Rhinolophus ferrumequinum: one gene and its partner. The protein of the gene in region 1 purifies or fractionates together with the protein of each later gene. This does not show direct contact. Links are inferred from orthologs where the notes say so. Each region holds a gene or a part of one and is shown in the gene's direction. Other genes may lie near its edges.

Region 1 (7,476 bases):
GGTGCTGTGGGACTCGAGGAATTGAACTGGCAACCTTGTGGTTGAGAGCCCACTGGCCCATGTGGGAATCGAACCAGCAGCCTTCGGAGTTAGGAACATGGAGCTCTAACCGCCTGAGCCACCGGGCCAGCCCCCTAGAAACACAGTTTTAATTCAGCTCCATCTTACTAGCTTTGAGATTTTGATCAAGTTACCTAATCTCTTTGTGACCTGATTTTCTCATCTGTGAAATTATAATAATAAAAGTATTTCCACATAGGGTTGTGAGGGATCACATGGGATACTGCACACGATGTGTTTTGCAGTGTCTGGTAGATATTAAGCACTGCATAAATGTGACGCATCCTGATATGTGCACACACTCGTCATATCTAACCCTACCCCAATCCCGCAATGTAAATGCATTAGTTAAAGAGGGGCTTGGCTGCTGTAACAAAGTTTCCATTTGCGAGTGGCTTAAACAAGATAGAGGTTTATTTCTCCTTATAACAGTCCAGAGGTAGACAGGTCAGCATGGGATTGGGGAGGGTCTATCATATTCAACCTGCATCTTCCGCCATTAGGTTCCAATGGCTACTGCAGCTCCCACCATCAAATCATAATTCCAGTCAATAGGAAGGGAGAAATCAACCCTTTTCTTCTAAGGACACCCTTAAAGCATGCGTATAACATTGCTGCTCAGATCCCATTGGCCAAGCTTAGTCACATAGCCACCCTGTCTGCAAAGGAAGCTGGGAAATACACCTTGCCCTTAGCTAAAATTGTGGCGATTCACTAGTAGAAGAAGGGGAAAATAGATATTGTGCTGCTAGAGCCCAACATCTGTCCACCCCTTCCTTACAAAGGGCACATTTAGCACCCCTCAAAGGGAAGCAAGGCAGTGTTCTATCCAGACCAGGTGTGGATAGAACAGGTACATGGTCTAGTACCTGTAAACCAAAAGGCAGGTAATCTGGCCCTCTTATTCCCCATAGACAACAGTGGGAGAGGAACAAGATAAACTCAATTAAAACCACCCCTCAGGGAAGAATGGCAAACACCTGGCAGTCACTAGATCTTAACCGTTACTAAATCCGGTTGGGCAGGGATTGCAAAGCCTCTTCCCCACAGTGGGGTAAATTCTTGGGCAGTGCATCTGGCCACCCCTGCTTCTGCTCTCTGGGAGGATCTCCCTTTTCTCCTCTCCTCTGTGGCCTCTGGGAAGTTTTTCCTTACCCAGTATCCTCTGCGGCTACCCTGAGAACACATCTGCCTTCTTGTAGACCTTAAAACTTTCAGAACCCTCTTCTTGCTACGGCAGATTTGGGGCAGTGGGAATAACTTTGGGGGGATGGGGTGAGGTGTCAAACCAGGCCTTGCTGACCAGATTTATGGTTTCTTTGCCAATACAATCCCCTCAACAATCTTAGAAGGCTTCTGACCGGTTCCGTATTTGAGTTGCCACAGACAATGGTGTCATTATTTTCATACTTGAATACTCTGGATTTGGTGGACTTTCTATTATTTCTCCAATGTTGGTAGCTACCTTGAGGGCATCTAAGTAAAAACATGCTTGGTGGTGAAGAGAACTTCCTTATTTTGCCCACTGGGCCGGCTTCCACTGTTTGCTGAACAGGGTGTGCTTGAGAAAGGTTTGGGACCACAGGCTCAGCCCTTGCTAAGCCTGCCTCTCCAAAACTACCTCTTATAACGAGCCTGAGTACACCTCTCTTGTAGGACTTTGCTAATAGCAGCAAGCAGCAGCCAATGTATATCAATAATCTGAGCATTTCCATGAGTGTTTCCAGGCTCTGTTAGCATACGCTTTACTTTCCAAGGTATCATGGATGACAGACATGCCACATGTTTTGCTGTACTATATAACAATGGTCACCGGCTTAGCAGCATGTAGTATTTTTCTTTGCTATCTACTCTCCAGTCTCTAAACTGATGCCATTTGTTAGAATACATGTTTCGTTGTTGTAGCAAAGACCCAATTTAAGAATGACTTAAAAAATAAAGTTTATCTCTCTCTCTCTTATAGTAGTCTATAGACATTCCAAACCTGGTAGGGTGACGCTGAATCCCTTAATAAGCATCTTATATCTTGGGTACAAGATAGCTGCACTATCTCCTGCCGTCACATTCGCATTCCAGGCAGCAGAAGGGGAGAAGGAAGAGAGGAACTCATGCTTCTTTCTCTTAAGGCCTGACCTGGAAGTTGCTCACATCACTGCCACTCACATCACATTGGCCAAATTTAGTCAGAAGGCCATGTTTAGCTGCAGGGAAGGTTGGGAATTTGTCTTTATGATAGGCAGACATTCCAGCGAAAATTCAAGTGGTTCTATTATTAAAGGAAGAAGAGAAAAAGAGATACTGAGACAACTGGCAGTCTCTGCCATCAAATGTTTTTATCTTCATTTTACATGTGTGGAAACAGGTTCAGAGAAAACAAACAATGCCTGCCAAGGTCACATGGCAAACGAACAGTACAGCATACATCTTAACAGGTCCTCTGACTCCAAAATGGGCTTTCCATCACATCCAGTCAACAAATTTGGTCATCAGTGTGCCCACTGTTTATTTAAAAGATATTCACACATGAATAGATAGATAAATGCCAGCCCAATGTACATTGAGATGTGTACACAGAACACTGGGTATCAGCCCAATGCAGTGAGGGTGATGCAATCAGGGCAGGCCTTCTCAAAAGGAGCCCGTTACTGGCCCTGTAGGTGGTCCATGTCTGAGGAGGAGAGGAGCATGAAGTACTGCAGGAGAAGGCAATGGTATGAGCTGAGCCTGTTCTGTTTCTGGCTTAGCTGTGAAGGTGGCCCTGAGCATAAGGGAGTGGGGGTTTTCCAGGTCCAATGCATCGCACACCTCCAGGGATGGTCCACTTGAGGTGTCCCATTAGCTGTGCCTTAGAAGTTCCGTCCTCTGAGACCAGACAGGAAGAGGCCACGGGGATCCCGTGGAAGGAGAGCTGCACTCACCCCCTGTACTACCCAAGACACACATGGATGGGCAAAGTCCCTTCTCTGCTCTCTTCTCTTCCACCCTCCCCACAAGTAGGACAGGGGTTTTGAGAGATGACAGGAAGTATGTTCAATAATTTCAGAAAGAAATCCAGTAATCCATTACCGAGTGGCTGTTCCAAGGCCAGAGACTGAGATGGAAAAAGCTGAAAGGAGGAGAGGAAGGGAAGGGCGGAGAGAGGAGCTAGAGCAGCTGGGTCAGCATTCCTGATCTGGACACTGACTCAGGCCCCAGGAATGCCAAAGAAGGGGGGGTGGGCAGCCGCCAGAGCTGGGCGGGGATCCTGTTGGCACCAGATGTAGGGACAGCACACACACACAACAGGATTGGGGATCTGGGGCTCCTGCATACCTGGACCTACCTCCAAACGACAGGTAGAAACAGGTGTCTCTCACTCTGTGGACAAGTGCAGGCCTGGAGCTCTCAAGCCCACCACACACCTTCAAAGTGATCATCATAGCTCCCCAACTGCCTGAAACCACCCACTCCTCCATCAGAGAGAGGAACAGGCTCCTGGGACTCAAATGGGGACATTGCCATATATTCGTCCCTCTTCTGGGACCACCCTCAAACCCCTTATCCCTAGCCTCCCAGCTGGCTGCCACTTGCCCTTTCTAACTCCAGCACCACCCATGACTGAAGTTTGTACAAGGAGGAAAGTTAAGCTCAACCTGCCTCCATTTTATCCTCCTTTGGCATCTGACAAAGATGAGAGAGGCCCTCGGAGAAAGCCAGGACTCCAAGCCCACCTCCTCCTAGCCCCAGTGCCCCCATAGTGTTTCAAGCCACCTCCCCTGCCGGAGGGAGAGTTCTTCCCACTTGTCTGCAGAGACCCAGGAGGCAGCCCAGGACCAGACGTCAAGATCCCAGGTTGCCCCTTTCCTCCCCACCCTGCCCCCAGGCTGCTGAGTGGGTGGATTCCTCCCTCCCCACTGCCTGACACCCAGTGAGAATCTGATCCCGGAGGGCAGGGTGCCAGAGGCCGGGCCCAGAATAGTGCAGCCCAGCCAGCGTCGCACACTTGCTCTCTGTTGGTCCGGTTGGCCGCATGGAGCCCGAACTGCGCAGGGTACAGGGGCTCTGGGGACGCAGTGAGTTGGGATAGCTGAGGCCAGGGGACTGAGAGCAAACCACGCTGTGTGTGTGTGTGTGTGTGCGCGCGTTTGTGTCTGACCTGGATTTTCTCTGTGTACATGAGCACATGGGTGTCTGTGTGTATATATTCTTTGTGGACATGAGAGTATGTGGTTCTTTGTCTGGGAATGGTTTGAGTGTGTGTCAATGTTTGGGTACGGGGGTGTGTGTTTATATGTGTTTGTGGGGTGGGTGTTTATGTGTTTCTATATATATGTGTGTGTTTGTGAGGTGTGTGTGTGTATATGCTCTCGTCACGCGGTGGCAAGAGAAGGGTCTGTGTTTCAGAATGGAGGGCATTTTCCCAACCACTTCAGACCCTCTTCTCCCCACAGAACCCATCCTGGAGCAGCCCTCTGGGACCCAAGCATCAAGGTAGGTGGCACGGCCTCCCCCCCATGGCCCCAACCTCTTTTCTCACTTCCTTTGTCCCCCACCTCTCTGGACCCCCAACTTCACCCACTCCACTAGCCTGGCTTTTGTCTTCCTCCCCTTTTCTTTCTTTGTTCCTCTTTGTTTCTTCTTTCTCCTTTTCCTCACCTCCTCCTTCCTCTTTCAAAAGAAGAGAAAGAGGACATAGACCCTAGTTCTGATTTTATCACCTAATGGCTGTGTGATCTGTGGGAAATTGCTTAACCTCTCTGATCTCAGGTCCCTCGTTAGTAAACTCGGGATAGTAATAATGCCTCCTTTATAAAATTGTTATGAGGTTTGAATAAGAAAAATGTTGGAGAAAAAATTTTGGAAGCTTGCAAATATTAAATATTATTATTAATAACATTGTCATTGATTTTGTTATGTTACTCCCTATTAACCAAACAGGCCCCATTCCCCCTTCCAGAGATGAGCTTCCTAGAGCAAGGAAATAGCACTTCATGGTCATCACTGGCCATGACCACCAGCTCAAAAAGGAGTCGTGGGAAACGGGGGGCCAAGGCCTCAAGATGGACAAGGCAGGAGGCTGTGGAGGAAGACGAGCTGCCAGGCCTGGGGGAAGATGAAGGTGAGGCCAAGGCTAGTTCTGGTGAGACGGGGGGTGGGGGGGAAGTAAGGGGGTGGGCAGGGGCAGGGGGGGCACTGGGGAGTCCCAGGGCCTGGGGCCCGGGCTCTGCCCTTGATCCCTTCATTACACAATGTTAGACCCTACCCTCATCTTGTAGCCTCAGTCTCCCCACATTGGAAAGGACAACTGCATTGAAGAATCAGGAATCCAATAAGGGTTACTCAGGACAGAGCCATTGTCTTGTGTGACTCCCTGAGACTCAGCTTTCTCATCTACAAAATGGGGCCCACAAGACCCAGGCGTTCTGAAGCTGCTGTGAGGCTAAACTGGGACAGCAGATGATACGGTGCTTTGGAAGGTGGCATTACTGTCCTCTCCCCCCAAACAGGTCCCCAATCCAGGCCAGCTACTGAGTCCATTGGGCTGGAGGCCACATTCCCCAAGGAAACACCCTTGGCCCAGGCTGCTCCTTTGGCTGGGGTGGACAACCCACTAACAGAGTGGGATATCCCCCCCACTGAGTGTACAGCCTCAGCTGCTAGCTCCAGCACAGACCATCTGGAACTGGGCAAAGAGTCGTCAGTCCCAGCAGCCTGCAGGTACGAGCTTGGCCTGGTGGAGGAGAGGCCTGCTCCATGCCCGTCCCCTCAGGCCCCGTTACCGAGGCAGGGCTGGGACGACGAGCTGCAGAAGCCGGAGGCCCAGGTCTACATGCACTTCATGCAGAAGCACACCTGCTACGATGCCATGGCAACCAGCTCCAAGCTGGTCATCTTCGACACCACGCTGGAGGTGAGGCCATGGCTTTGCTCACCTCCATCCTTGCAGGGCTGCAACCACTGCTCACACCCTCCAGGACACCCTGGCAGGCCAGGCTCCCCTGCAAGTCCCCTTCCAGAATTCCTTCTTAGCACCACGGAGACCAGCGCGGGAGGGCTGCTGCTCTCTGTGAGCATTCCCCAGCTGTCATCACAGCTCTGACACTTAGTATCTGTGAGATCTTCGGTCCAGCACTTTACCTGTCTCATCTCTAAAATGGGGATAGGAATGCCTGCTTTGCCCTGCAAGTTTCGGAGGATTCCTGGGACAGCCCAGGATAGATGGGAGCACTTTGTGAGCCCTGAACTACGTGGAAGACATTGCAGAATGGCTTAGGACAAAGCACAGGGGACTCTCGGTACCAGATAAATAGGATGAGCTCTGGGCCCTGCTCTTCCATTAGGCTGAGCTACAAAATGCCTATGACTCCATCCCTGTCGTCATGTATAGTAGAGCAATGTTTCCCAAAGCATAATATGTGTGTCGTCCACAGGACATGATTTGATTCTAGTGACATATGAATGCATATATTTATGTTCGTAGCTTTGCATTTATTTTGACATGTATTAGAAAAATACAACCAGCATGTTTAGATAGCATTGCCTAGGATGAGGCCAAAATGAGTCAATGTAAGATGTATTTAGAGAAAAATATTTTGTAAATGTTATGTAAATAATTATACCTCTGGTACTTAGATTAGCAAAATTATGCTATGTGTGTCTGTACATATATGACTTCTGAATAGAAACACCGAGTTACATCCTGCTGTGCCTGGTGAGGGGGTCAGCTCGGTGCCTCTGGCCACCAGCAGCCTTATCTCTTTAGCAAATGTCCCAACAGGGTCATGTATGGTGTGCGTACGGCATGAGAAAGGCAGGCTACTCGTGTGGAGGAAAGCACCATCGAGAAACCCTGGCTGGGACAGGGGACCAGTGAAGGGCCGCGAGGGACTTACCTGTCCACTGTTCTCCCTGGTCCTAGATCAAAAAGGCCTTCTTTGCCCTGGTGGCCAATGGTGTCCGTGCAGCCCCTCTGTGGGACAGCAAGAAGCAGAGCTTTGTGGGTAAGGAGGGGCTGGGAGGCAGAGGTGGTGGGGAAGGGAAAGGAGGGACCTTGTGAGGTGGTTCTGTGTTCAATTTCCCCGTTTGTGAAAGAGTTGTGACCAGCTGACCCCGCCCCCCCAGCCCTACTGCCCAGTGGTCTCAGGTCATAGATGCCAGTAGGAAAAGAGGAAAGGGAACGGAAGAAATTAGGAGAATAGAAATGGATGTGCAGAGGGGGGGAAAGGAATTAGAGGGAAAAAGGGAGCACCCCATGTCTCAGGCACAGAAGAGGCTGCCCTACTCCCCTCTTCCCACAATTCCTACTGTGTCTCAGTACTAGGACACTGGCGGGGTGGGGGAGGGGAGTATGACCCCCTCCACCTGCCTCCCACCTCAAGGCCCCAGGCCAACACTCCTGTACCGCCCTCAACTCTGCAGGGATGCTGACCATCACGG
Region 2 (6,943 bases), on another chromosome or scaffold:
CTGAATGTCTCTTAGATGCCCTAACGTTATGAATGGATTCATTATTTCTATTGAACCCCTCTATTTCCCATCCTTCCAACAATCTCTCCAGAATCCTAGGAGGTAATTAAGATTTCTTCCTTTCTCTCTCTGTCCACATCAATCTCTGTACCTCGCTAATTCCACTTCTAAATACTCCTAGAGTTTTTCCTTTTCATACGTGGTGCTTGCCTCCTCATTTCTTCACTCGATGATTGCAAGTCTCCTGTTTTACCACCACTTTGGTCTTGCTCTTCTCCAGTATATCTTCCATACAAAGTGAGTTTAAAAATATATTTTTTTAAAGTTAATTTTTTTTGACTCTGTAATATATTCATAAGGTTTGAAAACAAAAAGTTGCAAAAGGATACACAGGAAAGTCTGCCCCTTGTGCTGGACTTAGTCACCCAGGTTCCCTTGCTAAAGGCACCAATAGCCATCAGTTTCTTTGGTAAAGAATGTATTTCTAAAATGCATTGACTTCACATCCTCCCATGGCTCATCACTGTAAGATAATGACCAAATTGAGAAGCGCACATGAGGCCTTTCAGGATTTAGTTCTGTTTACCTCTCCTTTCTTCTAAGGAGTCGCTGTGTACATCCAGATTTCATCCCCTGTAACCACTTGCTCTTCTCCACAAAGCCTAAGACTTCCTTCCCTGTGATTTTGCATATGTTGGTCCCCTTACTTGGGATGCTTCCTCCAAGTTCCCCGATACCCCATACCACGTTTTTCCTTGAGTACAAAGCACCATGTCTAAATACTCCCTTAAATGGATTCAAGTTCAAACTTTTGTGGACCTCCACTGATAAAGGTTATGCCCTCCTCTCATAATGCCCTTTTAGGACCATACATATATATTTTTATTATAGCACCTATGATATTGCTTTGCCTTGTTGGAGGCAGATACTGTGAACCTTTGCTTTTTGAGTCCTCAGAGTCGAGCAAACTGCCTAATGCCTACCTGGTTGTTGTTCAATAAATATTAGTTACAATGTAATGACAACTAAGCTAAGGAAATATTAGGCTGCATTAAAAGCAGTGTAGTTCTCAGAATTTTTAGTTCTGGACACCATGTTTAGAGATAGGCATTGAGGAAGTGTAATATCCACTTGACAGTGCAGGGTCTACTAACACTGTGACAGTCTTAAGAAAAGACTAAGGACTCACATCTCCCTTAGAATCTCTGAAGGGCTACAGAGCAAGCAGCTGACAAGTAACTAATGCTCCTCCGAGACCGGAGGTTCTCCACCAGCGATGGGTCCACCTGGTTGGTAGTCTTCATCAGCACTGTGATGTACTGCAACTTATTTGTGCTAATAAAAGCTGAAGTACTGAAGTATGAAAACTACTTTTTCCCCTCCTCTTAAACTCGAGTAGATTCAAGGCTACTTCTATAATGTCACTCCTGCCCACTTACATTCCAATATACTTTGCTTCGATAGTGGCAAAGCTGCAACTGATGGGTCCTGAAACTGGGTGTAAGCCAGTCTACCTTATCTTTGCTTTTACCCTGGAAAATGTTGAACATGTGAATATTATCTATCCTTGGGGAGGGGAGGGGGAACTGCCATCCCAGATTATGAGCTCCTCCAGGGTAAGGAACATGACTTTTCATTTTCTATCTGTCCACAGTGTCTGGAGGTTAACAGATGCTGGGAGAAAAGAAGGAAATGAAGGTCTAGACAATGGATCAATGGGAGAATTAAAGGAAGAGAGAGTGGAAGAAAATGTGACAACAATTTTTAAAAAAGAATGAAGGAAAGAGATAAAGCAAAGGATTAAAGGCAGCTCATTACTTTCTTAGAAACTGTTAACCGGATTCAGTTTTGAACACAACATAAGAAAAAAGAAACAGCAATAAAAGTTGCTTAAACAGACTATGGGAGATTGGATAAGATGGCTTCTAAGTTCCTATTCAATTCTTTGATCTATGATTTTAGGTTTTGTTTCCCCCAACAATGCTTTTGAGTAAATAGTGGTATTTAATGAATATTTATTAAATAGAATTATAATCTAAAATAATACAAAAGCAGAAACAAACTGATGTTTCTGCTAAAATATAGTCTATATTACTTTCTTAATTGGGTCTTCAAAGTTTCATAAAGATATTGGCAGTGGGTTTTCAAAATTCAACTTCAATTTGCTCCCTGGTAAGATGCTCTGTGGCTTAATTGGCACCCTATAGAGCTGAGATACCTTTTTTTTTTTCCCTTTTAGGTTAAAAGAAATAACAGAAACTTGCTGGGCTAAATTCTAGACATGATGCAAATTTAAAGTTAATTTAAGATGCTATTTCTGGTGGGAAAACTTAAAAGTTTTTTCCTCTAAGAGAATCCAGAGATCTCTTTCTGCTTTGTAGCTATCCAAAGAGCCTGAGCTGCAGAAACTCTCAAGGCAAATGGGTAAAGGTGAAGAAACCAGAAAGCAAAAATTACAACAGTAACCACTGCCTGCCCACCCCTCCCCCGCCCCAAATCTCACATCAAAGATTTCTTAACATTTTTGCCCTTCAAAATATGTGCTGTTCATAGTAGAGTAGGAACTGATGATCTACCCAAGGAGAGTTGTAACTGTTCTCTGCTTATTTTATGTAATTCTAAACTCAAATGCTTTTGCTTCTCCTGCAGCACCTTGCTTGGATCAAAGCAGTTAAAACATGGTACTTTGATGTCATAAACAGAAAGTATATAAAAATCAGGAGAGTTGGGTAACTTTCACTAGAAAAAAAGGTGATATTTTTAGTCTTTTACTTTTTATACTATTTTCATGATGAGTTCAACTCTGCCTGACACTAGCCCAAATGCTATGACACTGCAAAATTGAGATCCTATAAACTGTTGTTGTTGTTTTTTTTGGGGGGGGCACTTGATTTTTGTCCATGTTAGGGGATTATAATTGACTAACAAACTCACTTAAAAATTCTATTACAAATAAGTATACTTTCTCAACTTCCCCTCTGATATGGCGTGATCCCATTTGTATTGATAATAGACTAAATCTTACTCATTTCTAGTACAATAAATATTTGTCAACTGATCTGGTTGATGCAACAGTAATCCTTGTTTTCAGTTCAGTTCAACTCTGTATTTTACTGATAATCTAAAATAGTAATTCCTATACATCTCAGGCCCCGAACACAAATACGTATCCCTAACCTGTTCCTTCCGACAGAGTTTGCTTTGGGGAGGAAATTTCAGGAAAGCGTCCAGCAGGAAGAGAGACCGGCAACGTTACTTGAGCTGTCCAGGTGCCCAATAGTAACAACTTCTGGTTCACAGTAAAAATAAAAAGAGACGCTGGAGACCGGGAGGGAGGGAAGACAGGAGGCGATGGAAACTATCAAAGATGCAAGTGACAACTCCCAAAGGTTTCTAGATCCCACCGCGAAGGGAAAACCAAAAGGTTTGACGACAGTGGCAGTGCGGTATCTCCAACCAGGTTCCAATTCGCGCTGCACGAGTAACAAGCCGTCCATCTGCCCTACCCAAGCGGGCTTCCCCGTGCCCATCTTCCCGCTTGGAATCACAAGGAGAGCGGCTCCCCCACCCAGAGTAACACTTAGACGCAGAGAGGAAAGGAGCCAGGGGGCTGCCGCGCAGGTGGGCGGGCGCCCCAGGCCGAAGGGATGCAGGGCGAGGAAGGGGACACCGGTGCCCCTCCTAGCGACCCCCTCCCGCCCCGCCAGGGGGAGCGTCTGCGCCCGACGGCGGGCGGCGGGGCCTCCGCGGGCTGCGCAGGGCGGCGGCTCCGCGGCGCGGCTGCCCTCCCGCGTCCCCACCCCCTCCCCGCCCGGCCGCCCGCCCGCCCCCGGCGCGGCCCTGCCCGCCCCCTCCGCCCCCCTCCCGCGGCGCCATGCGCAGACTCAGTTCCTGGAGAAAGATGGCGACAACCGAGAAGCAGAAACACGACGGGCGGGTGAAGATCGGCCACTACATCCTGGGGGACACGCTGGGAGTCGGCACCTTCGGCAAAGTGAAGGGTGAGGACCCCCGGGGCAAGCCACGGCCCAATCCCAGGACCCAGGCGACTTCCGCTTTTCACACCTCTTCATCCTCCCCCGGCCCCTGCGTTCCTCGTCTCGGGCTCCGCAGCCCCGGTCCTCCCGCCGGCGGGAGCGGAGCCCAACGCGGCCGCCGGGCTGCGGCGCGGCCCTCCCGGGCCGGGTGGGGGTGGGGTGGGGACCGGTCACCATGGCGACGGCGGCGCCAGGGGCTGGTCCGTGCGAGGGGCGGGGATGCGGAGGTGCGAACTTTCTCAGGTGGGCGGTCGGGGGCTGCGCGGCGCGCTCCGAGTGCTGGGTGGGGGCGTCGGGGTCTCCTCCCAGAGCCCCGGGGAACAGAGGCTGTTCTCCCTCCGCTCAGGACCAGCCCATCGGTTCCCTGGCATTCTTTAGCATTGTCCTTATTTCTGTCCTCTTTAGAAAGGCTGTCTACTCACCTGTTCAGGCTGATTCTCCAGTGTGAAATCTGTTAGCACCAAAGTCTCGGGGTAGCTTAGAGAATCATTTAAAAAAAAAGAAAAAAAAAGCCATCTTGTCGGAAAGGATAACTAATTTTTTTCGGAGCAGTTAATGAACATAAACTGGTCCAATACTTGTGATGCATGGTTTATATTCAGAATGCAGACTCCGTGCCTTTAGTGTGTCTGAATTACCAGTTTTGCAGTCTGTATGCCAAACCCGGTAGTTAGTGCAGATGTTGCCTCCAGATAGTATATTAGTTCATTAATGCAGCTCCTTTCCATGTGTTTTCACGGGGTATTTATATTTTAATGAACAATTTAGTGCACATCGTTTGATTTTTTTTTTTTTTTTTAAGAAAAGTGTGGACTCTCTTACCCTTGTGTTTCAACACGGTATTTGAAAATAGCAAACTTGCTCCAATCTACCAATTGTGGCACAGGTTTAATTGCAAACTTTGTGACGCATAATTTTTTTAGGTATTTGACTTTTTTATTAGGGATGATGCAAAGGAAGGAAATACGGAGCTGATAATAATTCATGGAAAGGCTTTGAATAAATAATAGTGTGTGACTTGACTATACTAAGCGCTAGGTAAATACTTAAAAGAAAAAAAAGTTTGTGAAAATCTGTACAGTGAATTAAATTAGTCTTGCTCTACCAGAGCTAAATAAACATTTTCTGATTTTATCTAGGGATGGAAGAGGAGAACCCTTCCTTCTCTTGTCCTTTCTGAGTCATAGAACTGGAAAATTGCTGTATAGCTCACAGGAAGCAACTGCCTAAACCTTGTGAAAAATCAGCAAGGCCTACAATGTAAGAAAGTAAGAAGCAAATGCCAGAATAGGGTAATCACAACCATTAGGGTGGGTCTGTATTAGGTCAGGAAGATGTTTCTGTGTCCTTGAAGTTACTTATTTTGGCTGTGCTGTCTCTATTTTTATGTTAGCGTTTCCAAACTTTTCTTTTAATTTACAAGTAGGTACTGTGTTTCCCCCAAAATAAGACCTAGCTGGACAAGCAGCTCTAATGCATCTTTTGGAGTTAAAATTAATATAAGACCCGGTATTATATTATATTATATTATGTTATATAATAAAGATATATAATGTATTTATATATTATAAAGATAAAACATATTATATAAAGGTATAACACTATAATATATATTATAAAGGTCTTTAATGTAATGTAATACTGGGTCTTACATTAATTTTTGCTCCAAAAGACGCATTAGAGCTGATTGTCCAGCTAGATCTTACTTTTGGGGAAACACGGTATTTGTAAGAAATGCTCATTAATGCCCGCAACATAGTGATGACAATCTTGATGTCCACCCCTCCCAGAGTTCTGCTTGGATTAGGATGCTCATCATTCTCCTAATACAGATCTGAGCAGAGTCAGGTCTCATTTTCTTTTTTGCTAGGTGGCTTTTGGCATGGCAGATAGGAAAGCAAGAGGAAATTTTTTTGTTTTCTGGATTTGATCTGTGATGTGGCTTTGACATGAATCCCTCCAGTGACCGCTGTTCCTTAACCTTCACTCCTCCACATGTGCCTCTGTTGAAGTGTCCCACACACTGTCAAAGTCAGCAACCTCTCCAAATGTAGCAAGGACAACAGTAGTCAAAGGATCATAGGTTTCGTAGGTATGGTTCAATTTGTTCATAAATACATTAGTTGATGTCGGTCAAAATCCTCAACCAGTGCATTTTTTAAGTTGTTAAATAGGTAGGATGCTTTTTGCCCCACGTAATAGAAAATCCAACTCAACCTAGCCAAGAAAATCTCTTCCCTTGGTTCTCTCCAGAGCAAGGAAGTCCCAGCGTACCTCTCATGAGTCTTGTTGGTTTATCCAGTCCCTCTGGCCTGGGATGCCTTGTGCCAATGGCTTAGGCCTGTGTTCCTAAGTAGGCCCTAGCAAGGGAGATGGAATTACCCTTGGGGGAATATGGCCCACTCTTGGATATATGTGTGTGTGTGTTGGGGGGAGGGCATTTAAAAAAAATTATTTTTCAGTTGCAGTTGACATTCAGTATTATTAAGGGCATCTTCTTCTGAGGTACTTGGATGGTGTGAGGGGACAGGATAGATACCTACACAGAAATGGGTATTAATTATTAGGAGAGAGACGGGTACATAGATGCTCAGTGAGCAGACAAAATTAGCTAGTTTACTGGTGACATTGGTATCTTACACTGGCCTTAATTTGGTAAGAATTTTTATGACTAATATGATTAGCCATATATTTCAATGGAGACAATTTGGAGTAGATAGAGCTTTTAAAACTAAATATATTGGTGAATTAATCATAGAAAAGAAATCTAGATGTGATAATGCAATACAGAAAAATTCCCAATGTAATAGTCCACGCTTAGAGGAAATTTAATTTTTGGGAAGGAGTGGACTGTAAATTCATAGTGATTATTTTTTTCCTGTTACAGGCTTAAAAAATCCTTTGGT

Evidence for each region. Proteins that work in one complex are often made in the same cells at the same time.
Region 2: the proteins of PRKAG3 (region 1) and PRKAA1 purify together in Homo sapiens (affinity purification with mass spectrometry; 3 studies listed by BioGRID and IntAct, counting the BioPlex papers as one, with this or other methods). This does not show direct contact. The link is inferred for Rhinolophus ferrumequinum from reciprocal best matches to the Homo sapiens genes PRKAG3 and PRKAA1.

Annotation. Positions count from the first base shown.
Region 1 is NC_046291.1:16,561,822-16,569,297, forward strand, and holds the start of PRKAG3 (5'-AMP-activated protein kinase subunit gamma-3), read left to right. Parts: upstream 1-4,427; 5' UTR 4,428-4,530; intron 4,531-4,977; exon of another isoform or gene 4,978-4,996; 5' UTR 4,997-4,998; coding exon 4,999-5,158; intron 5,159-5,546; coding exon 5,547-5,950; intron 5,951-6,958; coding exon 6,959-7,040; intron 7,041-7,458; coding exon 7,459-7,476. UniProt on the Homo sapiens protein: AMP/ATP-binding subunit of AMP-activated protein kinase (AMPK), an energy sensor protein kinase that plays a key role in regulating cellular energy metabolism.
Region 2 is NC_046290.1:27,139,419-27,146,361, reverse strand, and holds the start of PRKAA1 (5'-AMP-activated protein kinase catalytic subunit alpha-1), read left to right. Parts: upstream 1-3,874; coding exon 3,875-4,001; intron 4,002-5,176; exon of another isoform or gene 5,177-5,297; intron 5,298-6,943. UniProt on the Homo sapiens protein: Catalytic subunit of AMP-activated protein kinase (AMPK), an energy sensor protein kinase that plays a key role in regulating cellular energy metabolism.